Macaca fascicularis: one gene and its partners. The protein of the gene in region 5 interacts with the protein of the main gene of each other region in a pairwise test. Links are inferred from orthologs where the notes say so. Each region holds a gene or a part of one and is shown on either strand. Other genes may lie near its edges.

Region 1 (4,137 bases), on a different chromosome or scaffold from region 5:
ATTGATGAAAGAGTATGATAAATCATTTTTAATAAGTTAGGAAAATATTACAATAGAAAGTGGGAGGAGAAGGAAAGTTTGGGAAATCAGTTTGTTTTACTCTTGAGATAAAATTTTGATGAAAGATAATAAAATAGAATTTTGAAAAACACCTGATGTTTCCAAGGCAATGATTTTAATCTCTTTTATTAAACTACACAAGTGGTTAAAAACTTGACAATTTGTTTCATATATAGCAAATGACGTGGAGTACAGGGATTTCAAATGAATGCTATAGGAATAAAGAGGAAGCTGTATTAATATCTCTGCCCAAATGATGAATTTGCAATTCAGTACTGTCTAGCTAGAAGTGTCAACCAACACCTATTTCCCCTTAAATAATGTAATTATGCATAAAACACTTTGTAGTCTTTTTTAAAGTTTAGAATAACATCTATATGACATACTCTGTTGTATTTTTCATAATGTTATGCCATGTAAGATACACCAAAACTTTGTATTAACAGTATATCATCAATTTAGATCAGCGATCTCTTTTTCATAGTTAAGATGTCTTTAAAAGATTCTGCAAATGAAATTCTAAAAGATGATTTTGTTAGACCTCAAGATGACTTACATCATTTAAATATATTCAAATGAAATATCTATTTGCCATACACTATTTGAATAATTCTTTACAATGCATTATTTGAGTAATTCTAAAAGTAAACAATACAATGTGTTTGACAATACAGTGATCTCTTTTACAGAGTAACTATTCTGTTTAAAAAACAAAATGTACTTTTATAAGTTTTTCAAACTAAGGCGAATTTACAAACCAGATTCAAATGTCAGACATCCAAATAGTAGTATATTGTCAAGCAACAAAATTTAATGTATAATATAGCCCTGAGTATATCTCCATTTTCCTTAACAAACTCATTGTCATGTTGCATAGGCATTACTTGATGATTTTTTAAATGCAGTGTGAAAAAATCCTACAGGACATGTTCCAAAAAGATTACCTTCCTTCACATTCGAAGAACTGAAAGTTTTTCAACTATCTATGACAAAGCAGAGGATAGGTTTACCTTGCTTCATTCCAGCAGAATTGCATATATTCTTTCAAAATTGCTCTATATACTGGTATATGTGGTTAATTATATAGAATATATATATATATATAAAATCACTAGCGATTTTGATAGTATTTATATTACATATATCAAAGAAATAAAAATGATAAATAAAAATATGTGTATATGTGTATATTGCAAACAACAGATATATGCCATGCATATTTTTGTAATGATAGTAAATATAATAGTTTTTCAATCTAAAAGCAATAATGATACTCACCAAAAGAAATTTATGAAGCAAGCAAACAATGTAACTAAATGTTGTATTATAAAATCTGGTAGCTTTTAATGTGACTCAATACATGGACAATGTTAACTTATTTCCACAAATTTTTCACAGTGGTAAAACGTCTGCCTTTTTTTTTTTTTTTTTTAGTAGTTGTGGAGCATTACTTATTTGGAGAGACTTATTTTTTCATTCTTAATTATAGGCATCGCTCTCATATCTATTTTAGAATAACTATACTCCACAAGTCAAAGATAGGTGGGGAAGAGATAAACTCCCATCTTTTTGGGACACACAGTCCTTATCATATATTATTTTTACTGTTGTGCCACAGTCCATTTTTAAATCCTTCAATAGTCATCATGACTTTCTTAAAAATAAACAAAATAGTTGCATTTCTATATGGAAGACAAACTAAAAAATTGAACTGAAAAGCTAGCTCATGATAGACTTGAAACATCTACTAAATATAATTTACTACTAAACATAATTAGGAGTTCCTCAAGTTTGTATGTTGTTTTCCCAAGAGATCATCTGATCATTTGATAGCATAGATCACATCATTATTTGAAATAATCATCATGGTATGCTATAGAAAAGAGCATTTGAAATAGTAAATGTGAGAAAGCAACATTACAATTAAATCTTTATCAATACTTTTCACATCCTTCAATTTTCCATCCCAACTCATTTTATTCTTTATTTTCTCCATATGTCAGAGAAACTTCTCCTAACTTTTAGGCCTCCATGTAGTTCCTATACAGTAGTTAGTTCAATTGAGAATATATGTCAGGTCAGTAACCTTTATGTAACTGTTACTAAATACAGAAGTATCAACTAGTCAAAATAATAACTGAGATATACAAACTATCTCACAGCAATCAAAATAATCTGTTATAATCAAATGACATTCTGCATATTCTATTACTGCAGTGGCTTATTAATCAAGAAATCATGTGTTTAATTCTTCTGCAAAGAAAAACTTATAAACTCAATTTCTATTGAAAAGTTTTCCCAATGAAAAATATATATTCCTGAATAAATACATATATATATGCAGTATATATAACATTTATGCTTCTTTGCAAACTACTGTGATAATTTAAAATCAATCTACCTAATTAGTGAGTTTGTCACAAACTAAACATTATGCCACAGTAAAATACATTTTTAGTTACTTTGTACTTACAACAGTCCTCTACTTCTTCCCACCAAAGCATTTTGAAAAGTGTATATCAAGGCAGCGATTAAAAAAACCTGGTAAAGGTTCTTCAAACTTTATTGCTCCAGTAGGCTTAAAAACAATGAGAAACCAACAAACTTCAGCAGCTTTAAAAAAATAACACTTCAGTTTTTCCTATTCATTTTTCTCTGAAGGTAATTGCCTCTAAGATCTGAGTCCCGTAGGGGGAAAGTGAGTGATCCCAACACTGAGTGAGTCAACACAGTAACTGATGCCAGGATTCTGTAGAGGCCCCTGGATATTTCAAATTCCAGGACCTGCGCACAAGCAAGTGACCCGCCTTCTCTCTCAAGTTGGTTTCCCATAATAGGACTGTCCATGGTCACTACATATAAGGTTGTGCTTCCAGCATGGCAAGCTCTGTGAATTCAAATAATGCTCAACTGTGTTCTGATTAATATCCAAACCAGAATAGCACAGTGGACATAGTACTAGCTTTTAAAGCCTTCCAAACACAAAAACTATTCAGTACAAAACCATAACAATATTTTCTGTAACTTTCATGTGAATTTATAACAGAGCAGAAAATCCCGATTTAAAATTGACTTTTAAATGCCTTTTTTATCCTCTCAACAACACCAAAAATTTCACTCTACCAAATAAAAAGAAATGCCCAGAATAATCTATGCATTTGTTATGTATCCACTGCCTACCAAAGTTATTTTTTCCCCTTGAGATTTTTGATTGCAAAAGTCATGTATTGATGATGCCAACAGTCTGAATAAGAGAAGCAGCAGCAGAACACAGCAGCTGAATTCTGAAGGCAGAATGTGTGTGTAGGTCTCATGGGACATGTTTTCCTGCTAAAATAAAGAATATTCTTATAATGGAGCAAAGACATTTTTCTCAAATCCTAAATTTCAGTTGTGAATTATGATAAAACTTCTTTACTAACAAATTATTCTTTCTTCCATTTCTCTGCTGCCAATTCTTAAAACACCATTTTCTTAGACATTGAGTTAATGATCATTTAATGGTTCTGAATGCAGGCTCTTTTTTTTCTGTATTAAGTGAATGCAGTTGTATTATGTCATTCAGCATGTAAATCATTCTTTGCCAATAGAAGTCTTCTTCATCTTGTTCCTTATTACTTTTATGCAACAGGCGAGCCCCAAATTGATAGAAAACATTGGTAGCATTTTTTAAAGAAAGATATTCTTTTTATAGTTATAATAATCCCTACTAAAATTTTTGTTTGAGTGTTTTTATTGTACCATTTGTTAAAGTGACAGACTCATTTTTCTATGTCAAACATTCAACTGCTTGCGACTGAAATGAGTAATAGACAAAAATAAAAAAAAATTATAGAGTCAGACTGTGATGTTTACCTTAATAGTTAATTATACATTTTGCGTTTTAGAATATTATTGTCATAACATGGCTATTTTCCCCAGCAAAATGTGTATGAGATAAAACATAAGGCTTAATTTTAATTGAAAACATTCTTTTCCCTAGGTCACCTCCTTTCCTCTGTGTGGTTGTCTAAATATGCATATAAGCAAAATTTTCATAAAACAAAATGAAAAAAATGAAAACAATTGTTGTGGGGC
Region 2 (4,251 bases), on a different chromosome or scaffold from region 5:
TGCCCATCCCGGACCCGGTGCCGCCCCCCAGAGAGTGGGTCAGCTGGAAGCCCTGGAGACAGTCACAGCTCTCTGACTCCTTCCTCACCACGTCCAGGACCGAGTCGACCAGCTCGGCTCCCTCTGTGTAGTGGCCCTTGGCCCAGTTATTCCCAGCTCCGCTCTGGCCTGCCAGAGGGAAAGTGAACATTAGACACTAAAACATAAGGAATTTCAAAATCTGTCATTTTGACTATGGAGGAGAAGGTAGGACTGGTCTTAGACTGGCAGATTCTTCTCTTTTGAATACTCTTCTTTTACCTGAAGAAATATTTTTCTGTGTCAGCGACCTCAAAAACACTGGGGATCATAATAAAGTTAAGAAGTAAGTTTAGCTCATCGGAGGCTATTTACTGAGGAAGAGGATAGGGTTAGAAAACTTAATTGGTTCTGAAATACATACATTTTTAACAGGCATTCTCTTTATACTCAAGTACAATTAAACAGGCAAGGTGAAAGCAGTGTGACTAGGAGAGAAGGTGGCCTCAGCATCTGTCTAGCTCCGGTCATAACCTGTGCTTTTGGCCCCTGACTCTTTGAAGTCCTTTGAAGTTGCCTATAGCCTATGAAGCCTGGCTTGAAGCTTTTCCTTGCTCTTTCTTCCTTCCAGTCTGAGGCTGCTCTGCAATGGAAGAGCTGCGGCAGCCCTCTGCAGGCTGGCGTTGATCTGTGAGCCATGACCGCCCATGGACTGCATGGAGCTAGGCCAGGACTCAGGGCTGCCGTGGACACAGTGTCACCTCAGCACTGAACACTACGAACTGTGCTTTGCAGGGCTGTTAGGAAGAAGGTGTCATTTGGCCAGTTCCCAGTGATCATGACTACATACCAAACACGAAGTTGTCTGGCCTGAAGATCTGGCCGAAGGGTCCAGACCTGACGGAGTCCATGGTGCCAGGCTCCAGATCCACCAGGATGGCCCGAGGTACGTATTTATTACCTGCAGGAAACAAGAACTGACTCAGACCTGTGCTTAGGGATGGACTCACAGCAGCATTCAATTCCAGCATCTGAGACAAAAGGAGAACAGGAGATTTTCTGCTTTTAAGAAAAAGGAGGTCCTGAGCGTGCTTAACTGTGGCAAACAGGCAGGACTCTTAGGAAACCATAAAGCGTGTTTTTCCAGCAGTTGGCATTTGAAATGAATATGCAAGAAGCATGCCTTTGTCACGTGCATGTTCCTAGGACATTTCATCTCCCACATCATGGAAAACAAGGATTCCTGGGCACACACATCCCGCTACTCACCAGCAGCCTCATTGTAGTACACGTTGATTCTCTCCAGCTGCAAGTCACTGTCTCCATGGTAACTGCCTGTGGGGTCGATCCCATGCTCATCACTGATGACCTCCCAAAACTGAAATGAAACAAGAACCACACCATGGCTCTGCATCCTGAATGTCACTAAGGATGGCCTTGTCCTCCTCCCATGTCCTTGGAACAGGGGCTTTTGTGGTCAGACAGTAAGTGCTAGACAGAGAGCAAAGAGCTGCACCCCCTATTTCCTGCAGCAGCCGCTGCTGAGGGGCTTGAAAATCTGCAGAGCATCGGCCATATTATGGCGATAGACTGAAAGGCTGGGAGGGGCCCTGGAGGAGGAGGGGGCACAGCAGATGCCCTTCTAGGGAGAGTGTGGGGAGGGTAGAGAAATCGAGAAGGGGTACAGGGAGGCTCTGTCACCCCAGGCAGGGCTGAATGCCACTGCATCCGGGATGATTGATGGGTCGTGGCAGGACCAAGGACAGGGGGACCCACCCTGTGTCTGCCTCCAGGGATCAAGCTCTCTTGGCACAGATCCCAGGCACCCCTGCAACAGTGCAGGTTTAATGCTAGCACTGACCACCGGAGGGACTGGGCGAAGGGCATCAGGAGCCTGGGAGGGCACCTGGGCGGCAGTGGAAGGAGCTGGCCATGGTGAGGGCGCTGGCTCCATTGTGAATTTGCGGCAGGGAGGGGGCGGGGAGGCTGGGTGGGCAACATGGCGGTTCTCAAAGAGACCACGTCCTTGTACTGGCTCCCGCCCCCACTCATGCACCAGGCCCTCTGCTGCCTCCCACACAGCGGTCAGTAATTGCAGCCCCCGCCCAGCGCAGTCACCTGCCGCCTCGGGGACTGGCAGCAAAACTATCGCGTTGTATGTGATCATGTCAAGACAGTGCCCGAGCAAGGAAATTTATCTAACACCCTCGCCTGTACGACCCAAAGGGAAGCCTCTGTTACATCTGTCAGTCCAGTGACACTGCATGTTTTCATTCAAACCGTAGAGATAAATACACAAATTAAATTCATATGAAGCTAGCGCAATAAATGTGACCGTAGCCCCGACCCAAGCTTCTGAGACAAATACACCCAGCGGAATGCCAACCGCGTCCCTCAGAAGGGCTGTGTCCCAGGGAAATCGAAAGGGCCCGGATTAAACGCACGCACAGCTGCGGCGCTGCGGGCATCCTGACGGGTCATGCAGCCTCCCGGGCCCCGCCCGGCGGCCTCGCCGCGGAATGTGCCACCCAGCCAGCCCGGGGTCGCCGCGGCCTCCCGCCCCCGCCCCGGCCCCAGCCCCAGCCCCAGCCCCAGCCCGCACCCTCGGTCCCCACCCCAGGTCCCTCCGCGGCAGCGCACCCACCTTGGCGCCGATCTGGTTGCCGCACTGGCCCGCCTGGATGTGCACGATCTCGCGCATGGTGCCGGCTGCTGAGCGGGTGGCGCTGGCCCTCGGAGCGGTGCGCGGCGTGGACAGGCGGGCTTAGCTGCGCGGAGACCTGCCGCCGCCCCCCAGCTCCGTCTTTTATACCCGGGGACCCGCCCTGCCCGGTGACGTCATGACGGGCGGGGCTGCGGCCGCGGGGGTGGTGCGGCTGGGACTGCGGCACCGCGAGGGGGAGCCGGGGCGCGGTGCGAGGTGTGGGGGCGCTCGGCCCGTTGCGGCTGCCGCTGGGTCTGGGGTGGGCCGCCGGCCCCGCTGTCCCGCGGTCACCGCGGTGCCCGGACCTCGGACCCCGCCGCAGCCCCCTGCCGGATCCACGGGCGCGGGCGACCCCTGGGACTGGGTTCCTCGCTTACGCCGCAGTCCCCACCCCGCCCCGCCCACTCTGGACCCTCAAGGAGGGCTGGAGACCGGGGCCCCGGAACCAGGGGGAGGGGCTGCCTCGGAACAGGGTCCTCGCCTCCTAGGGGGCGGGGAGAGGTGTCGAGTACCCTTTGGAGTGGGGAACTGGAAATTGAAGACCCATTTGCACTGGGCTCTCCAGCGGGTAGCAAAGGTTTCCCGCATCCTGGGCAGGGGCCAGGGCGCCGTTGGGAGGCGGTGGGCAGCGTGGAGAGGAGTGTGGAGCCCCGGGGAGCCGACGGGCAGCTGCCTGAAAGGAATGGCAGGATGGCAGGGTGGGCGCCCTTTCGCCCCTACAGGGAAGGAAGATGGCTTGGTCTGGGGTGGGAGTTGGGGGGTCTAGAAAAGGGCTGGATTTGTCACATGTCTGCTTTGGGCTCCTGCGTCCTTGTAAAGGCCTTTTAAATGTGGAAAATTCTGCGGGTGTGTGTGTGTGTGTGTGTGTGTGTGTCAGAGAGGAAAGACAGGAGGAATATATCTGCCACGTTGATGTGTCAGCTGATGGCCCTGCCCCTTACACCCCTTAGGTCACCTGATCCTCAGGGAAGCTTTCGGAGCTAGGCTGTCCAGTTCCGTAGACCCTAGGCATGGTGGCTGCCGAACATTGAAACGTAGGTAGTCTGAACTGAGATGTGCTGTTAAGTGTGAAGTATACACTGGATTTTATGGGCTCAGTAAGTTAAAATAATGTGAAATATTTCATTATTGATTCTTAAATATTGATCTATCAAAATAATAGTGTTTTGGATACATTGTGTTAAATGACTTGTTTTGAGATTAGAAAATATAAAATTACATACTTGGTTTCCATTTGCTGCTCACTTATGCATATTTTTGTTGACTACCACTGGCTTGGGGTAAGCATTATTACTACCCCAATTTCATAGCTCGGAAAGCGAGGCTGAAAGACCTGACCAGTCACAAAGCTAGTAAAGGAAGGAATCTAAAGTCTTTGTACAAAGAGAAAGCCCAGGTGAGTTTTAAAGGCTTGGGTGGGCTGTGGTAAGGACTAGTCTTAATTATTCACAAAGATGGCCCTGCACAGTGGACTAGGTAACAGGGGCCTGGGGACTGCCTTTGGTTCCCAGCACATTCCGACTATATAA
Region 3 (3,500 bases), on a different chromosome or scaffold from region 5:
TAAACTCTGGTTTCCAAAACCAATGTTGTGCAGTGCAGAAAGTAATGTTTTTATTATAAGGCTAACGATACAAAGAGTTAAGGAAAGGAGAATTTATTTATTTATTTATTTATTTATTTTATTTTATTTATTTTTTTTTTGAGACGGAGTCTCCCGCTGTTGCCCAGGCTGGAGTGCAGTGGCGCGATCTCGGCTCACTGCAAGCTCCGCCTCCCGGGTTCCCGCCATTCTCCTGCCTCAGCCTCCTGAGTAGCTGGGACTACAGGCGCCCGCCACCTCGCCCGGCTAGTTTTTTGTATTTTTAGTAGAGACGGGGTTTCACTGTGGTCTCGATCTCCTGACCTTGTGATCCGCCCGCCTCGGCCTCCCAAAGTGCTGGGATTACAGGCTTGAGCCACCGCGCCCGGCCAGGAAAGGAGAATTTAAAACAAATGGTAGGAATCCACAAAATTTTCATCTGTCTTCTCTATTCTGCTCTGAAAGCACATGGTCATTTCTTACCTGGCAAAGTTCACATGATCATGTAAAACACTGTTACGTCTGGCACTCCAAAATCTAATGTCAGAGACGTCACGAGGCGTACATACCCAAGGAGGTAACAAAGTGTTCATGCGCATTGAGGGTCTTCATGCATCGCTTGTTCTTGTAATCCCACACGCGCAGGGTCTTGTCATCAGCACAACTCAAAATAAACTTCCCCCCAGAATGGAACAGAACTCCACGTACCCAGTTATCATGACCCACCTTAAAAACAAAAAAGTTACTTGACTTAGTGAAAGGACAAAATGTTTAAATAGCATCTATTTAATAATATGATAAAACTATACATACCAAAAACATCAAAAGACACCAAAAGACCAAAAGAAAATAAAAGTCTAGGGAATTCTAGATTAAAGGAAACTGAAAACTCGTAAGACATGACCAGCAAATATAATGTATGATCCTTGACTGGGTCCTGGATGAGGGTTAAAGAGAAGTCACGCAGGGCATTATGGAAATAACAAGAACAAATCTGAATATGTAGTCTATCAATGGTAAATTTCTTGAGTGTGATTAATTTTATTGTGGTTATTTATATACTATCCTTGTTCCTAGGTGGTTCATGCTAAAATACTTGGGGGTAAAGTGTACGATGTCTCCAAGGAACTCTCAAATGATTTCAGCAAAATATACACACATACATGAAGGAAACATGTTAACTAGGTGAAGGATATACAGGCATTCACTATATATCCATCCATCCATCCAATCATCCATCCAATCATCCATCCATCCATCCTCCAATAATCCATGTATCCATCCATGTAATCATCCATCCATCTAATCATCCATCCATGTATCCATCCATCCATCCATTCATCCATCCATCCATCCATCCAACCATCCATCCAATCATCCATCCATCTAATCATCCATCCATCCATCCATCCATCCCTCCATGCATGCATGCGTCCATCCATCCATCTAATCATCCATCCATCCATGCATCCATCCATCTATCCAATCATTCATCCATCCATCCATCCATCCATCTAATCATCCATCCATCCATGCATGCATGCGTCCATCCATCCATCCATCTAATCATCCATCCATCCATGTATCCATCCATCCATGCATCCAATCATCCATCCATCCATCCATCCATCCGTATTTCCCGTCGCAGCAGTTCCGTTCTTGCAATTTATCTTTAAGCACATGCCCAGAGATTCAGTTAACAAAGATGTTTGCAAAGCACTGTCTGTAGATCAATGTACAAGAAGAGCATCTAACAACACGAGCAAGGATCACATACTTTCTAAATTAAAGGTTTGCTACAAAGCTACATTAAGGAGTATACCATTTTTATAAAAAACAGCACATTCATCTACACATTAATTTAAGAAAAAGGCTTAGAACTGCACAGTTGAACATGGTAGCTACTGTCCATGTACGCCTTTTTTTTTTTTTTTTTGAGACGGAGTCTCACTCTGTCGCCCAGGCTGGAGTGCAGTGGCCGGATCTCAGCTCACTGCAAGCTCCGCCTCCCAGGTTCACGCCATTCTCCTGCCTCAGCCTCCCGAGTAGCTGGGATTACAGGCGCCTGCTACCTCGCCCGGCTAGTTTTTTGTATTTTTTAGTAGAGACGGGGTTTCACCGGGTTAGCCAGGATGGTCTCAATCTCCTGACCTCGTGATCCGCCCATCTCGGCCTCCCAAAGTACTGGGATTACAGGTTTGAGCCACCGCGCCCGGCCCATGTATGCCTACTTTAATATATAATAGTTAAGATTACATACAACCAACAATTCAGTTCTTCAGTCTCACTAGCCACATTTCAAGAGTATAACAGCTGCACGTGGCTAGCAGTTACCATGCTGGATAGTGCGGTTATAGCACAGCATTGCAAAGTTTTGTTTTGTTTTAAAAAGAGACAGCAACTCTCTCTGTTGCCCCGGCTGGAGTATAGTGGCATGATCACAGCTCACTAAAGCCTCAAATTCCTGGGTTCAAGTAATCCTCCTGCTTTAGCCTCCCAAGTAGCTAGGACTATAGGCATGCACCATCATGCATAACTAATTTTAAAATTTTTATTTTGGTACAGACAGGGCCTCATTACGGTGCCCAAGCTAGTCTTCAAACTCCTGGGCTCCTCCTGCCTTTGCCTCCCAAAGTCCTGGGATTATAGGCGTGAGCCACTGTGTCTGGCCAAGAGTATGTTTTTCTTTCTTTTTTAAGAGAGTCTTGCTTTATTGCCCAGGCTGGTATGCCATGGTGCGATCTCGGCTCACCGCAACCTCCATCTCCCAGGTGCAAACAATTCTCATGCCTCAGCCTCCCGAGTAGCTGGGATTACAGACATGCACCACCATGCCCGGCTTTTTTTCTTCTTTTTTTGAGACAGAATTTTGCTCTTATTGCCCAGGCTGGAGTACAATGGCCTGATCTTGGCTCACCGCAACCTCCGCCTCCTAGGTTAAAGTGATTCGCCTTCCTCAGCCTTCCCGAGTAGCTGGGATTGAAGGCATGCGCCACCAAGCCCGGCTAATTTTGTATTTTTAGGAGAGACGGGGTTCCTCCATGTTGGTCAGGCTGGTCTTGAACTCCTGACCTCAGGTGATCCGCCCATCTCGGCCTCCCAAAGTGCTGGAATTACAGGCATGAGCCACCGCACCCAGCTACGCCCGACTAATTTTTGTAATTTTAGTAGAGACGGGGTTTCACAACGTTGGCCAGGCTGGCCCTGAACTCCTGACCTCAGGTGATCCACCTGCCTCAGCCTCCAAAAGTGCTGGGATTGCAGGCATAAGCCACTGCACCTGGCCAGATTTATTTTATTTTATTTTATTTTTTTTTTTTTTTTGAGACGGAGTCTCGCTATGTCTCCCAGGCTGGAGTGCAGTGGCGTGATCTCGGCTCACTGCAAGCTCCGCCTCCCGGGCTCACGCCATTCTCCTGCCTCAGCCTCCCAAGTAGCTGGGACTACAGGCGCCCGCCACCACGCCCGGCTAGTTTTTTGTA
Region 4 (3,941 bases), on a different chromosome or scaffold from region 5:
GGAAGGTGGAGATGATCTGCCCTCTGATTTGTGGAGATTACCTATGTGGCCTTTGGACCCACTCCAGCAGGCACACCTCACCCACAAGACTGGTCAAAGACCCTGGCCCCACATCTGCAACTGTCTCCACATCTGCATCTGCATCTAAGTCTTCTAGCCAGCAGTTCCTGGTCCCCAAGCTAGCTGTTGCCCTCTCTGTTTCCACACCTCCCAGCAGGCAGAAAAACAGCAGCAGAGCCCTAAGCTGATAGCCCAGGCCACAAAGAGCAATTTCAGTGCATTGTGCAAAGATATGTTTTCAAAATACAGATCACAAGAATGCACACCCCAAGTGTGATCCGCAGTCATCCGCCCGGTGGCCCTCAGCGGTTGCTCTCGTGCCTGCAGGCTCTGTGCTTGGTATCTCAGAAAACCTTCCCGAGGAAAAAGCCCACAAGGGACAAGTCCGGGCCCAACTTAAAAATCACATCAGACTGCTTTCCAGTAGAGGAGCAAGGTGGAGATTCCGGCCCAGGGAAATCACCGCAAACCCTGCACATTGTTCAGAACCTTTCCCCCTTTGCCACTGCCCCCCGCCTCCGCCACCCCGACCCCCGACCGACTCGCAGCACCCCACCCCCAGTCTGGGCCATCCATCCACCTGATTAACCCGCCGGCAGCAACTCCCAGCGCAGAAAGTAGGGCAAATGAACACACACAGTCGGTAAAGCAGGAAGCCACAGACCTGGCCAATGCACCCACCCTGTTACCAACCCCACCCCGCTGCGCAGGGGGCAGCCGGTTCTTGATGTGGCATTTCCACTCCAGGGAAATAGACAGCTTCCTGTAATAATGCATGAAGGAGCTTCGGCTGCCCAACTATCAGAACAGCCCATTTCAAACGGCATCTCTGTTTCTTCTCAACTCCTTACCTGCCTTGCTGAAGCCTCACCTCTTGGCCCAACAGATTAAGACGAAGAGAGAAAGCGTTATTAAAAGAGATGTGGAGGAAAAGGTTTAATTAAGGAGACCAAAGAGAAAGTACCACTTTGATCACAAAGGTAGCACTTTAATATAACAGTACAGAAAGAGGCAATGTCAGAAGTACTAGGAATCCAGGTAAATGGCCCCAAGATTCAGCATCAATCTAACAATGTATTCCTCAGGAGGGCGTGTGAACTTCCATACTTCATCCATCCTGGTGTCTCCCTGTAGAAAGCCACCATCAATTCCTTCTCATCCACCCTCCATACATCAAGTACATGCACTCGCTATTTTTTAAATTTTATTTTTGGTTCGGGAGAGGAAGAAGCAGTCCTTAAATTGGTGTCCAATCCTTCTCAGACACCCGCTGCTGCCACCATCCCCACCCCTCACCCCTTCCCAGCAGGCAGCATCTAATTAAAATGACAAGAAAGCTCTGCCCCCTTCCCCGAAGGAGTGTGTTGGGATCGGGAGTTGGGGGTGGGGAAGCGTCAAGGCAGCACTGGGATTCCTGGTATTCTGATCTCAAAACAACAGCAAAATGGATTCTGTATCAGTGATGTCTTAGTCAATACAATGAAACGGCGTCTGAGGTAATTCACGTGAAGGTAAACGCAAACCAGTGGGGCTGGGGGGAGGGAGGTGCTCTACAAAGGACCGGCCACAGACACGGGGAAAACACACATACACACACACACACACTCGCACACACTCCAGGGAGTTCCGGTCTGATTGAGGAAAAGCAGAAAACACATCCCTTTCACCTGCTTAAGTTCAGCCATAAAACTGAAACGTTACAGCCACAAAGTCAGAAAGCACAGGCAGGGCTGAGTTAAAGCCATAAATAAAGGTGAGTGGCAGACTGGCATTTAAGGGAGCGCTGAGAGGGCGCCCGGGTGCGGGAGGCAGAAAAGGGGGAGGGGGAGACAGTTGCCATCTACAAGACAAGCATAGCAATAACTGCCCCCTTGGAGCGGCAGGTTCGGCTTCGCGGGGACAGTCAGCCTCACAATGTCATCTTGCAGGTAGCTGGAAAACGTGAGGAGCCAGTGCCTTTATTCACGCTGGCATTCTTTTTGCAGAAGGGACAGTTGGGTCTCGCTCCTTGGCACCAGACAACTGCCCGGGGCGTGTACACACGTACACACCAACACACACACACACCTTTCATTTTACTGCTCTTACACCGGTATAAGATGAAAGCATAAGCTCCACGAGCTCCACGAGCCCTCGGGAGAGCCTCGGCCACGGCCAAAGGAAGACACGTACCGCACAGCCCCTGCCGTAGGGGCTCAGCCGGGAGCACCTCAGCAACCCCGAATCAAAACGGGAATCCAGGTTCCCTCCCCGACGCATTCTCCCGCTGCTGTCCCCCAGCCCCAGCCCCTGCCCCCAGTCCACGCACCGAGCCCATTCACCCTGACCCAAACCACTGGAAAGAAACCAGAAAACATGTCCTGCTCACCCTCAGAGCCGAGAGATCTATTTCATCCAGGCTTCGAGCCGGGGAGTCGCTCGCCATGTCTACTTCTTCGCTGGAGAAATGGACCAAAACCACCCCCAAGCTTTTCCCTTGGAAATTCCACCTTGGTCTATTTCACTCGCGTCCTCATGCGGGTATCGCGCCAGAGGCCCCGGGCCCAGCCTCCCCCGCCCACCCCAGCCCCACAGCGCCGGATCCCGATCCTCCGCGCGTCGGTCCGCCGGGTCCGGGAGCCCAACCTGCGCGGATCTCCAAGCCCGGAGCAGCGGTGCGTGTGGGCTGAGCGCCCCGATCGGCTAAGGGCGCTGGGGCTGCGTGGGTGTATTTAAATGGGACATGCTTCTTTGCTTGTGCGTGGATGGCGGCTGCATTGGCTGTTATAATGAGACACATCAACTCCTCCACTCAGCGGGGGGAGGGTGGGGGTGGAGAACCACACAGAACTGTCTATCACCGCTTCCTGGGAGGAGTGAAGGGGGTGGGGGGGAGGCGGAGGAGGCGTGGTCTTGGACTGGGGAGAGGCCGCGCTTCCTGACCCGGTCCCTCCCCGCCAGCGTGGAGGGGGGAGGGGCGCGCACCCTTTCCGCCCAGGCTTTTGAGGGCTCCTGGGGCCAAATCCGAAGGGCTGTTCCTGAACCTTGACTTGCTTATCATAGGGACCCAAGCTGTATTTTTGTGTGGCCAATTCGTGCACTGCAGCAAAATGGCCCTTCAGTCTCATCTTGGGGTTTCTCCTCGGTTCAAATGCTCTCCCGCTGAGAAAAAGCCGGAGGAAAAAAAAGCGACACCCTCCCTCCCCTGTTAATTATTTGTGGGGCCGGAGTAAAGCGGGCTGGTGCAATCGGTGCATATAAGGACTTGTGTGCAAGGAAGGGGATCCGCCTCCAGGCGCGGAAAGAGTGGGGGAGAAGCGCACACGCACAGTGCACTCAGCTGGGCGCTTCGGCAGTTTGCAGCTGCGGCGGGGTCGGGTCCAACCGCGGTCCCCGGAATGCGGGACGGCGGGTCCCGGGTGCTGGTCACTCGCCGATTCGGGACCGGGAAGGTTTGCCAGAAGCGGGAAAGATGGGAGATCTGAGCGCTCTCTTGGCATCGCCACACCCAGTACCTGCTCGTGCCGCAATTCCCCACGGAAACAACCGAGTTGAACCGAGAAGCTTGTTCTTTGGGTGCAGTAGCTAGAAGGCTTCAGGTAACTCCAAAGCCAGCACTGGGTGAGGCAACACACGCCGCCTCAGGACTCAGCATTTCTTTCAGGCTGCATTTTCGTGTCAGACCTACCCAGATTGATGGAGAAAGTTTGGCTGGCGGATAAGAAGTAACGCGGAATATGTGTACGTGAGAGCGATTTCACTTCACCCACTTTCTCATTTAAAGGTTGGATGTTTTACAGTGGTATACATGATCCTTTTTCTGTAATGAAGAGTGCGAAGTCGCTTCCCCCAATCCCCGCGCAGCCCTTCTTCTCCCGCCTTAGCCACGCAAAATACATACA
Region 5 (3,500 bases):
GGCTCTTCCCACTTCGTTCTGCAATTCTCCTTCCTGGCACCATGTGAGGAAGGTGCCTGGCTTCCCCTTCACCTTCTGCCATGATTGTCAGTTTCCTGAGGCCTCCCCAGCCACGCTGAACTGCGAGTCAATTAAACCTCTTTCCTTTATAAATTAACCAGTCTTGGGCAGTTCTTTTTAGCAGAATGAAAACAGACTAACACAAAGAGTCTAGCAATAGAGTGGAGAACAACATAGTTACAAGCCCTGCCCTCAGGTAAAACAAAACAATAATCACATAAATAATTAGAATTGTGATAAATATTCTGAAATAAAAGTAAAAAATGCTAAGAGATCCATCATATTTTCCAGTTGGAAGGCAGGGAATGTTTCTCCCAAAAAGGTTATTTAAGCCGAGTTCTGAAGATAATATGATGTAGTCAGATGAAGGCCTGGGTGTATGTGTGTTGGTGGGGAATGGACGGAGAGAGATGATCTAGCCTGGAAGAGTTGGACAGGTCTGAGGATTCAAAGCAAGACAGTAGGGCTGGAAACACAGATATGAGCAGAAACTGTGTTGTATTGGGCTGCTGAGTCTGGAAAAATACATAGGATTTTGGATGCCTTTGCAGACCAAGCAGCTAAGGACCAATACGTTTCATGGTGACTTGATGGTGTACAAATGTGGTCCCTCTGATACGTCTTCTAGTTGAAGTAATTTATCACTGTGAAATTAAGTCATCAAGTATAAGATGACTGGCTGACTTTTAGCCTGGTAGACAAGCTATTGACCTGGTATGATGAAACATCACTGAGTTTATTTTTATGCCTTTGTTTCCTCTCTGTCTCAGCTGCAAGTGTCCACTGCTTGGGAAAGTGTGGGAAGCTGACTTGGAAGCTTGTCGATTGCTTATGCAGAGCCTACAACTCCAGGAAGCCAGGGGAAGCCTGTCTGTAGAAGATGAGAGGCAGATGGATGCCTTAGAGGGAGCTGTTTGTATAGCTGCTCCTCCCATTACCCCCAGGCTCCACTCCGAGGATAAAAGGAAGACCCCTTTGCAGGCATTGGAAGAATGGAAGGCTCACCTCATCCCCTCTCTGTACTGTGCTGGAGGCGAACAGAAAGAGGTCTGTCCTTTCCACATGGTCTCTAGAGGGGACCCCTATTCTAAGGGGTGCTTTGGGACCAGGCTCCAAATGGGAACAATATATATTGGGAGGGCTTCCCATTGAGCATATAAACTTTTAAAAGTTTCAGTAGCTTCAATATGATTACAAAATAATGTAGAATTTTTGTCAAAGTTTGAAATATAGAAGAGCAAAAAAACCCAACTTTTGGCATATTTAGTTCCATTTTCATTCTAATTTAGTGGCTAGAATTAGAATATGCAGTCTAATATAGAATTACCATATATAGCATACATTATATATGTCATATATAACATAGTTATCATATACACTATAGATTATATATGCCATACATGATATTTGACATATATACTATACATTATATACCATGTATCATATGATATTTAATTATATATTTAGAATCTATATATTACAATATATTATTATTTATTTGAATGAAACATTCAAATATATGTATTTATCCCATTAATTGTTTTTACCAAAACCAGATCGTAATGAATATTTATAATGTTCTTCTTTCATAAACACAACTAAAGTTTGGCCTGAGATATATGTATTAGAAATTAAAATATGGTTTTATTTAACTTTACTTTTCTCTCCCCTCTTTCCTCTCTCCCTTCCCCTTCCTCTTCTCACTTTCCTCCTCCCGCCGTAACAAGAGTCTTTTCCATAAAAAGGCCCTGGGAAGTTTTTCCTGATTTCAGTGCCATGACCTGAGTCTTCAGAGCTCTTTGTTGGCCCAGGTTCCCAGGTGTTCTGAGTGTGAAAAGGAAATAGCATAGAGAGGCTGGAGGAACGTGACACATGGCCTTCAAGTCTCATGGTTGATGTTAGATGTTAGCTGTGCTTCCTCCCTGGGTCTTTGCCAGGACTCACCACTGGTGGGTGAGGAAATTGTTACCTCCCCAGGCCAGCCCTGGCAGCCTCACATCCCTTCTGCAGGACCATGACCTTCAAAGAGCAGACATTTGTGTTCTTAGTCACTGCCTCTGGACTGCTTGGAAAATTGATCCTTGATCCTATATTTGGATTCCATGGTCTTATAAGAAAGCAACCATTGTCACTCTGCATCCTTGCTGGCCCAATCACAGGCTCTACTATAATTTATAGACATCTGACCTCTTTTGTTAACCCAGTTGCTGCAGGTGGAATCCTCCAGCAAAGCCTGGTTTCCAGTGCTCTGGGTAGAGGTGTTGAAAAGTTACCACGTGCTGCAGGTGGATGGTTTGAAAGAATATTCTGGGATGGAGGGAAGTGCCACCTAAGCAAGGGTTTATTCCCGGGTGGAAGAAACTGCAGGCTCCGGAAATGAGTCTTTGAAGGTGTGGCTGGCTTTTCAAAGTGAGCTTCCGGGAGGAGCTCAGTGTGGGGCAGTCAGAAGCCATGCCAGGTATGTGATGGAGTCCATGGGTCATTGATTCTGCTGGAGGCCAGGACTGATTCAGCAGAGATCCCTTACTCCTGTAGGGGAGAAAAATCATTATCTTTCCTTTATGCATCTAAAGGTTCTCAGCTGAGGCCCCTATGCAGACAGAGTAACAAGAGAAAAATGTGCAAATTTGCTTTATATAAAATTTACATGACACAGGAGGCTGCAGAAATGAAGACCCAAAGCAACAGAAACCAGTGTATTTTTATGCTTAAGTTTGAAGAATAGCAGACAGATGTGGAGAAGTATAATTGGACAAAAGGAATAGGATCTAATGGCAATAAACTGCGGGGAGCTTAGCAAGGCCTGTTTGCTCAGATTCTTCACTGCATCCCTGTGTCTTCAGAGATAAGGACACTCCTTTCCTTTGGGTATAGGTTGTACACTTTAAGGATGAGGGTGGTCAGCGATGGTTAGAGGAAGGTCAGAGAATTATCTATGGCCTGCTTCAGGAGAGAATGGCTGTAGAAGGTCAGAGAGACTCCTGCTTCTGCTGTTCCTCAAATGCCAAGGTGCCATATTTTGGGGTAGTGCATTCTGAACCCCATCACTCTCTTCCTCCCTCTCTCCCCGCTTCTCCGCCCTTCCCACTGAGCCCTGAGCCCTCTAGGCTCTCTGAGGACAGACTTTCCCAGGCATAGGAGGATTCATTTTCCTGCATAAGATTATAAGCACCTGTCAATTTCACTATCTGGCTATAAGAACACAGAGCTATATTTGTTGAAAAATAGGAAGCTTGGGGTCAAGGATGAATAAAGAGTGGAACCTTATCCTAGGTCCTGTGGTGGCTGCTGTTTGGGTGCTCCAGGGGTCCCCCAGAAAGCCTCCCAGATCCTCTCCACCAACTGAAATGCTGAGGATGTCCTATATTTATTTGTTGCCGTCTTAGGGGAGAGTGGGTGCTTTAGAGGGGACCTTATAGCTTTTGCTGGCTTTCGCTATC
Region 6 (4,215 bases), on a different chromosome or scaffold from region 5:
CTACCTTGTATGACCTTGGTCAAATCCCCCCTGTGGCCCTCAGTGTCCCCCTCTGTACAATACTCCATAGCAGTCATGAGACTCCCTTTACATCCTGTCTTTGGCTCTTTTTTTCTCACACTGTCTCCTCTTTGGATTGGGGATGCTGGAAAGCTGGCTTCCAGTCACCTGGAGTAATTGCATCTCTGGGCCTCAGTCTCCTCATCTGTAAAAATGGGGATGCCCTGGCCACAGACAGGACTGTTGGGGAGGCAATAAAGGAAGAACGCAAATATTCAGTGTAACTCTTCCCCAAGTCTCTTCACACTCACCACATGCAGATCCGGGGTCGGGGCAGCGGCGGCTGCGGAAAGAAAGCGAATTGGGGAAGGCAGCTGTGGTGTCCTGGCCGTCGCGAATCTGCAGCGGGCCCCAGAACTCGCTGTAACTTGCCATCTCATCTCAACGACTAAGAAGGAGAGGCGCGGGCGAGGGCGGGCTTCAGGAGGCCCTAGGTGCTCTATGCGAGCACAATAACCACCAGGGTCACACACCCCTGCCTCTCCTTGCCCAGGCAGCGCGGGAGACGTCCCGAACGTTAGTAAGCATAATGACGATTGGTGCCTGCGGGGGAGCCCGTTTATAAATATTCACGAGCGGACCAGACTGTCCCGCCCTCACCGGGAACAAGTTGGCTCCGGGGTCTTCATCCGCTTTCGCCGCCGCCGCCGCCGTCGACTGGGTCCGCACACTCGCTCGCGTCCGCGCGGCCGACCCACGCGCTGAGATGCGATCCTTCCCCGCTTCCCGCCGCAGCTCGGAGAGATGTTCAAGTTCCGACTGCACCCTCATTCCCAAAAAGTGGCTGGTCTTGCGGTTGAGCATCTCGCCGCTCTTCCGTGCCGCGGCGCGCCCCGGGCTCCCGCCGCCTCGGTTCCAGGACAGCCAGCGCTCGGTCTGAGGCTACCAAGGCCGGGCCCGCTAGCCTTGCTCCGGCCAATCTGCGCGCCGAGAGGCGCGGCGGAGCGAATCCGTGGGGGCGTCTCCCTCCGTCTCAACGGCGACGGTTGCCAAGGGGGCTTGTGAAGGAATGAAGGCGGGAAACGCAAGCTCACGCCAGTGGGTGCGAAGAGAACGCGCAGATACGTAAGAAGTTGCGAGTGCCCACCTGAGCACCCTCTCTTCCAAGTTGTTAATACGAGGGCCGGCGCTGTCCTCAAGGCCGGGAAGTGGGAGCTTGGTGTCAGTTACTATGGGAACTGCCTCTTGGCCAATCACCGAGAGAAAGAGAAGGTGTTTGGGAAGAAGCCAGAGGACCCGAGAGGCGGGACCAAGCGTAACCAATAGAAGCAGAAGATAATGAAGTTTCCTCACATCCGGGGCTGCCTCCGGCGCCTGCGCCCTGCGCACCGTTGGGGGGGCCAGCAACGTCCAGTGACGTCCGGTGAAATCCAAGATGGCGGCGCTAGGCTGACCCTGTTGCTGGTGAGGGCTCTGGCGCCGGCGGGGACGGGATCCAGCAGGTGTGTGCGGGGTGGAGGGTGTTTGGGGCTGTGGAACACCAGCCGTTCCCACATCTCTGCTCTCTGTCTTCTGCAGGTGACGGAAGTACCGCCTCCTCCCGTCTGACGCCCCTCAGGGGACCCTGCGCCGCTCCAGCCGCCGCGGCCATGTCTGGGCTAGGCAACAAACGCGCCGCCGGCGACGGGGGCTCAGGGCCCCCGGAGAAGAAGCTGAGTCGTGAGGAGAAGACCACCACCACTCTTATCGAGCCCATTCGTCTTGGAGGCATCTCTTCCACGGTTCTTGGGCTCTTGCCTTAACCCTCAGAATTTCCCAGAGCCCTCCCTCTGTTCCCTGGCCAAATTGTCCAGAATCTTACACCCACTTCCCCAAGTTTAGCAAGGTCCGCGTTACAGGATACTCTGTTGAAAGAAGCCGAGAACACGACGCCTGTCTTCCCTTTACAGATAGGAAAACAGGTTCCCAGGGGGCGTGTGACTTGTCAAAGACTAAGGAGTTAGAAGGGGACAGGCAGAAACAACGTGAGCCTCCTCACAACCAAGACACTTTCGCTGTGGGTTGTGTGAGCCTCCTTAGATTCTGTTAGCGGTTAGTGTGGGAATACCCCCATCTCCCATGCATTCCAGATGCTCTGCTCCTCTCTTTCTGTGTGATTGGTTTCTGGGCTCTGCTTGATATTCTCGTCGGCCCCTTTGTTTCCTTTGGTAGGAGGAGATGGACCTGAAGGTACTACAGTTCAAGAACAAAAAACTGGCAGAGCGGCTGGAACAACGGCAGGCTTGTGAAGATGAACTCCGAGAACGAATTGAGAAGTTGGAGAAGCGGCAGGCCACAGATGATGCCACACTCCTCATCGTCAATCGCTACTGGGCCCAGGTGGATGCCTTCTGCTTTCCAAGACCAGGCCTTGATTCAGCTGCCAATCCCCAGATTCCCCTGCTGGAAAAGGGGTATAATGTTGGAAAGCATTAAGGGATTCATAACATTTTTGATGCTTTCTCCTTCCAGCTGGATGAAACTGTGGAAGCCCTTCTCCGATGCCATGAGGGCCAGGGGGAGCTGTCTTCAGCGCCTGAAGCACCTGGGACCCAGGAGGGGCCCACATGTGATGGGACTCCTCTCCCAGAGCCGGGGACATCAGAGCTGAGGGGTGAGACCAGAGTTCTGGGATCTAGGGAGCTTCAGTTCTGGGAAAAGTCCTGGGGAGGAGGGGACTTTGGTGTTGGGCCTCTGAATTGCCTGCCTTACTACTCCCCACGAAATGGATTTCATGTTTGGGTGGTAAAGTGCAGTGCACAAAAATACAGGCTTTGGACTCTGACTAACTTGGTTTATAGAGCAATTCATGTTTTGACACCCATTTGTTTGGAAACAGTATTACGGTTGAGTGTTAACTATGTATTTGACGCTTTCTAGAAATGGGTACTTGCTCATTGCATTTGCTATGAGGGAGGAAATTACAAACATAGTAAGCAGAAAGTACTGGGGCTCTTGAAAGGGAATAATTGTGTGTGCACATGTGTGTGTGTGTGAGATTCTAATTTTTATTGGGAAAGTACAGGAGGCATCTCTGAGGATGTGATACGCAACTCTGTAGCTTTGAGGAAATTACTTTACCTCCCTGAACCTCATTTGTCTCACTTTCAGGATGGAGATAATAGTGCACTATAGGTTGTGTTGATTAAGTGAGCCATGAATATTGAAGGGCTCAGTCTGGAACTTAGTACAGAGTGGTGGTAACTGCTGCTATTATCCTCATGAGGGTCTGTCCATTCCTTCCAGAGCCCTTGCCATTGCAGCTGCGGCCCCCTCTCAGTGAGCCGGCCTTGGCTTTTGTGGTGGCACTGGGTGCCAGCAGCAGTGAGGAGGTGGAGCTGGAGCTGCAAGGCCGAATGGAGTTCTCTAAGGCAGCTGTGTCTCATGTGGTAGAGGCCTCAGACCGCCTACAGCGCCGGGTGGAGGAACTCTGTCAGCGAGTGTATAGCCGAGGTGGGTTCTTTGTGCCCATACCCAAGAGGTGTCCATCCCTACCTGCATCTTGATGGCACCCCTTTCCAATTCCCCTAATGCCCAAGTCCAAGGGTGGCCAGAATTCCCCAAGGAATATATCAGCCACGTTCTTGGGAGGGGTAGGTTAGGCTGTAGATGGGGGTTCCAACTTTGATTCCTGGACTGAATGCTAGAGAGATGGGTTGGAGGAGCTGTTGATGCTAGTAGAGCCTCCTGTCCAGAGGCCCCTCTGGAGCACTTTGTGTGGGTTGCAGATCCACAAGGCATAGCTTCAAGGGCTCAGGCCTTGTAGGTTGACAGGCTTCTCCCACTTCAGTTCTGCCACCCTCACCTGGACGTGCTGGGAAAGTGGCTCCCCTCTCTGAGCTGGTTTCCTCCTCTGTGCAGTGGAGATAAAGACTCCTAGCTTTGTCATGAGAAATTGGCAAGACAGCCGGGGGATCACACTGGGCACATAGCAGACTCCAGAATGAGTTAGTTCTTTGCCCCATTGCCCTGAGCTGGACTCTTAACCTGGGCCCTGCTTTCCCAGGGGACAGTGAGCCCCTCAGTGAGGTGGCTCGGGCACGCACCCGAGAGCTGGGCCGTGAGAACCGGCGACTGCAGGACTTGGCCACCCAGCTGCAGGAGAAACACCACCGCATCTCATTGGAGGTGAGGAGCCAGGGGCTTTGGGAGTGGGATTAGAATCAGGCAGGATTT
Region 7 (3,500 bases), on a different chromosome or scaffold from region 5:
GCTAAGGTGGAGGCTGCTCCAAAGCCTTCAGAGCAATACTGAGAGTGACACAAACGACACAAACGACACGCACGGGAGAAGCCACACATCTTAAAACACCTGCGAGACAAGGACAAGAGCAACGTGGCAAATCAGCTCAAACTCTGAAAAACGCTGATTTCTCTACAGGCCTGGTGGGGAATCATTAAACTCTAAAAAGAGCAAGCATTTAATAATATTTTCCTGACTTCCCCCTTCAAATTATCTTCTACCACTCCCAGATCAAAATTCCATAAAGGGAGACCTCAGAAACCACTATCAATTGATCAATTTCATCCAATGTTTCCTGATCTGAAAAGCCCATCACCCCTTGCCTGGATGCTCAATCCATTCCACCACCAGGTATTTACTGCAAAGCTGCTGTGTGTCAGACACTCTACCAGACTGGGTATCCAACAGTGAACATGAGTGAAATCTCTGGCTTATGCTCTTAGGGAGCTTATAATCCAGCAGACGTCTCCCTAGACATGAAGTAGGAAATGGTTAAAAACTCACTGAATAATGCCTTAATAAATGATTGGCTGAACAATAAACTTCTATTAAGGGATGAACCAAAAACACCCAAAACACAACTGACAAGAAATAAGTATCTCTTTGGGTTTCTATTGAGAATCCAAGATTGTCGTAATTTTAAATAGGCATAAAAGAAAACCAGTTTCCTAGTCACACTGTAAGAAAGATAAAAATCATGTTTGAGGCCACCACAAACTCTTGCTAAGCAAAAGGCGAGGTTTTCAGGAAGACTTTACCTTTTTCTCAGGTTTGTCATGCTCTCTGTTCTTCTCCCTGTCCAGGTCCCGGGAGTGCTCCCCGTTTTTCACTCTCCGTCTGTCCCTGTCCTTCCCTTTGTCTCGGTCGCGCTCTCGGTCCCTGTCTCTCAGTCTCTCCTTCTCTCTTCCCCCCTCACTCTTTCTGTCTGTCTCCTTCTCACGCTCGGAGTCTCTGTCCCGCTCCCTGTTGCCTCTGTCTTTCTGTCGCTCGCTGTCTGGCCTGGCCCGGGCTTTGGGTCTCTCTCTCTCCCCTTCTCTGTGTCTGTTTCCGCCATTCTCCTTGGCCTTCCCCTTGTCCTTGTCCTTTTCTCTTGGCTTGCTGTCTTCTTTCAATTCTTCTTTCTGTTTTCGATCTCTGCTTGTACTTCTCTCTTTTATTTCAGAGTCTCCTCTATCCTACGAAATAAAAATAAAATCATTTATGAACGTTTTTACCTAAACTACAAAAAGACTCACTATTTCATTTTCAAAGATGTGCGACTTGCAATTCACCTCTGTATTTTTGTGAACTCTGGACTCCTCTTCTCGCACATTCTTATTATCCAATTCCTGAGATCTTGAGGTCAGTGAGGCCCGGCCTTTCACTTCTCCTTTCTCTCCAGCTAAAACCCTCCGTACCGCATCGTCACTGGAGAGCTTGTCGTCCAAATGGAAGGAAATGAGGTGTTAGGTGAAATGAGATCCGCACACGTAACAAATAGAACATCGCCATTGAAAGATAGCTCATGAGACAGATTCTCTGTCTACAATGAAATTCAAAGGATAAAATATTTTTTGAACATGTTATTATCACATACAAAGCACAGCATATCTTGATAACTATTACTTTCAGCACTTTGGTCATTAACAGTAGCATCCACCCAAGCTAAATGAATCCTGGTTCAAGTCTACCCAAGCTGTCAAATGTGAATGTGTGTGTTCAAGGTCAATAAAGCTGACCCATGCCTTAAACTTCTAATGGGATCGTAGAATCCCAGCCATAAGTGCCTTAAGATTTTATCTAACCACCTCACACCCATTAGGATGCTGCTCCTAAAAAAACACAAAACAACAAGCATTGGCAAGGATAAGGAGAAATTAAAACTCTCATGCACTGTTGATGGAAATGTAAAATGATACAGCCATTATGGAAAACAGTATAACAGTTCCTCAAAAAATTAAGCACAGATTTACCATATGACCCAATAATTCCCCTTCTGGGTATTTATCCAAAAAAATGGAAAACAGGGTCTTGAAGAGATATTTGTATATCCATGTTCATAGCAGCATTATTCATAATAGCTAAAACATGGGAGCAAACTGTACCATTGACAGTTGAGTGGATAAACAAAATATGGTATATCCATCACAATGGAATATTATTCAGCCCTAAAAAGGGATGAAATTCTGATACATGCCACAACATGGATAAATCTTGAGAATGTTATATTAAGTGAAATAAGCCAGTCAAAAAAAGGACACTCTATGACTCCACTTATCCGAGGTCCCTAGAGTAGTCAGATTCATAGAGACAGAAAGTACAATGAAGGATGCCAGGGGCGGGGGACAGGAGAAGAGGAAGTTAGTGTTTCATGGGGACAGAGTCTGTTTTGCAAGAAGAGTCCTGGAGATGGAAGGTGGTGATGGCTGCACATGACTGAATTTACCAGCACTGAAGTGTACACTTCAACATGCTTAAGATGACAAATTTTATGTTATAGGGATTTTAACATAATAATAAAATTATGGGGGGAAAAACTGATCTAATTCAAGCCCCGTCAAATGCAGAAATTCCTTCTCCAGCATCCCTGACAGCCACCCAGAGTGTAGGACACCTCCAGTCAGGAGTCCCACTCACTCAACGCACTCATTCCACAAGCACACGCTGAGTGACTGCCACATGCCAGGCTCCATTTAGGCCGAAGACACACCATGTACTGGGGACACAGACAAACACAACAATTAAACAACAGGCTATAGGAAGCCTACAGGGGCACCTAAGTCGGCCTGGGAGGGAGGAGAGGCCCAGGCTCAAGGAAGCGCTCACAGACGCCACATTGCTGCTGGGTGAGGCTGGAGGAGGAAAGCAGCTCAGGCACCAAGAAGCCAACAGGCACCAGGGCAAGAGGCTGACGGGAGACAGCAGGCCAGGGCTGAATGCAAGGGTGCATGGTGACTGGAGTGGAGGGCTCAGGTGTGGGAAATGAGAGAAGGATCTGAAGGGAAAGAAGTAGCAGCAGGTCTCTAGGGGGCTCACAAGCTGTGCCATGGAGCTGGCTCGGCCCCAAGGCTACTGGAAGCCGGAGAAGATTCAGCAAAGGAGATAGGAGCCAGATGTGCTTTTTAAAAAGACGAGCAACATAAAGGACCCGGGAAGGGGAGCTGGGGAGTCTAGGCACAGAGGCCAGTGTACTGGCAAAATCTGCTTCCAAGTCTCTAAGTTTGTATGCTGGACCTGCACCGGGGGGGCCTCCTAGGAGTCAGTCTGACACCACTATGCACCTCCACGACCCACTGCTGTTGAGGGGGCTGAAACCTACCTGTTCCCATTTGGGTCACATTTAAGGTTAGCCCCCAGCCAACCACCCACTAGGTATGTGAAAAACTGTATTAATCATACTCTCAATACAAGTCCAACCTGCTCCTCCATGGGGGACCACTCGGCCTTCAAAAGAAGGAAGACCCTGGGGAAAGACCTTCTCCAACGTTTGG

The links.
Region 1: the proteins of DISC1 (region 5) and DMD interact in a two-hybrid assay, tested with the Homo sapiens proteins (2 studies listed by BioGRID and IntAct). The link is inferred for Macaca fascicularis from reciprocal best matches to the Homo sapiens genes DISC1 and DMD.
Region 2: the proteins of DISC1 (region 5) and tubulin beta-2A chain interact in a two-hybrid assay, tested with the Homo sapiens proteins (2 studies listed by BioGRID and IntAct). The link is inferred for Macaca fascicularis from reciprocal best matches to the Homo sapiens genes DISC1 and TUBB2A.
Region 3: the proteins of DISC1 (region 5) and PAFAH1B1 interact in a two-hybrid assay, tested with the Homo sapiens proteins (2 studies listed by BioGRID and IntAct). The link is inferred for Macaca fascicularis from reciprocal best matches to the Homo sapiens genes DISC1 and PAFAH1B1.
Region 4: the proteins of DISC1 (region 5) and TNIK interact in binary tests that used the Homo sapiens proteins (3 or more experiments, as listed by UniProt). The link is inferred for Macaca fascicularis from reciprocal best matches to the Homo sapiens genes DISC1 and TNIK.
Region 6: the proteins of DISC1 (region 5) and RNF40 interact in binary tests that used the Homo sapiens proteins (3 or more experiments, as listed by UniProt). The link is inferred for Macaca fascicularis from reciprocal best matches to the Homo sapiens genes DISC1 and RNF40.
Region 7: the proteins of DISC1 (region 5) and TRAF3IP1 interact in binary tests that used the Homo sapiens proteins (3 or more experiments, as listed by UniProt). The link is inferred for Macaca fascicularis from reciprocal best matches to the Homo sapiens genes DISC1 and TRAF3IP1.

The regions. Positions count from the first base shown.
Region 1 is NC_088395.1:33,307,148-33,311,284, forward strand, and holds the start of DMD (dystrophin), read right to left. Parts: upstream 2,801-4,137; 5' UTR 2,565-2,800; coding exon 2,534-2,564; intron 1-2,533. UniProt on the Homo sapiens protein: Anchors the extracellular matrix to the cytoskeleton via F-actin. Ligand for dystroglycan.
Region 2 is NC_088378.1:169,917,117-169,921,367, reverse strand, and holds the start of tubulin beta-2A chain, read right to left. Parts: upstream 2,801-4,251; 5' UTR 2,720-2,800; coding exon 2,663-2,719; intron 1,397-2,662; coding exon 1,288-1,396; intron 980-1,287; coding exon 869-979; intron 169-868; coding exon 1-168. UniProt on the Homo sapiens protein: Tubulin is the major constituent of microtubules, a cylinder consisting of laterally associated linear protofilaments composed of alpha- and beta-tubulin heterodimers.
Region 3 is NC_088390.1:2,806,446-2,809,945, reverse strand, and holds part of PAFAH1B1 (platelet-activating factor acetylhydrolase IB subunit alpha), read right to left. Parts: intron 745-3,500; coding exon 588-744; intron 1-587. UniProt on the Homo sapiens protein: Regulatory subunit (beta subunit) of the cytosolic type I platelet-activating factor (PAF) acetylhydrolase (PAF-AH (I)), an enzyme that catalyzes the hydrolyze of the acetyl group at the sn-2 position of PAF and its analogs and participates in PAF inactivation.
Region 4 is NC_088376.1:82,933,349-82,937,289, forward strand, and holds the start of TNIK (TRAF2 and NCK-interacting protein kinase), read right to left. Parts: upstream 2,801-3,941; 5' UTR 2,486-2,800; coding exon 2,429-2,485; intron 1-2,428. UniProt on the Homo sapiens protein: Serine/threonine kinase that acts as an essential activator of the Wnt signaling pathway. Recruited to promoters of Wnt target genes and required to activate their expression. May act by phosphorylating TCF4/TCF7L2.
Region 5 is NC_088375.1:17,082,038-17,085,537, reverse strand, and holds part of DISC1 (disrupted in schizophrenia 1 protein), read left to right. Parts: intron 1-830; coding exon 831-1,107; intron 1,108-3,500. UniProt on the Homo sapiens protein: Involved in the regulation of multiple aspects of embryonic and adult neurogenesis. Required for neural progenitor proliferation in the ventrical/subventrical zone during embryonic brain development and in the adult dentate gyrus of the hippocampus.
Region 6 is NC_088394.1:28,931,132-28,935,346, forward strand, and holds the start of RNF40 (E3 ubiquitin-protein ligase BRE1B), read left to right. Parts: upstream 1-1,415; 5' UTR 1,416-1,502; intron 1,503-1,578; 5' UTR 1,579-1,649; coding exon 1,650-1,781; exon of another isoform or gene 1,782-2,091; intron 2,092-2,211; coding exon 2,212-2,379; intron 2,380-2,511; coding exon 2,512-2,653; intron 2,654-3,285; coding exon 3,286-3,492; intron 3,493-4,045; coding exon 4,046-4,167; intron 4,168-4,215. Other genes in the region: CFAP119 (cilia- and flagella-associated protein 119), read right to left, coding at 312-343, 661-864.
Region 7 is NC_088386.1:134,242,586-134,246,085, reverse strand, and holds part of TRAF3IP1 (TRAF3-interacting protein 1), read right to left. Parts: intron 1,446-3,500; coding exon 1,302-1,445; intron 1,206-1,301; coding exon 789-1,205; intron 1-788.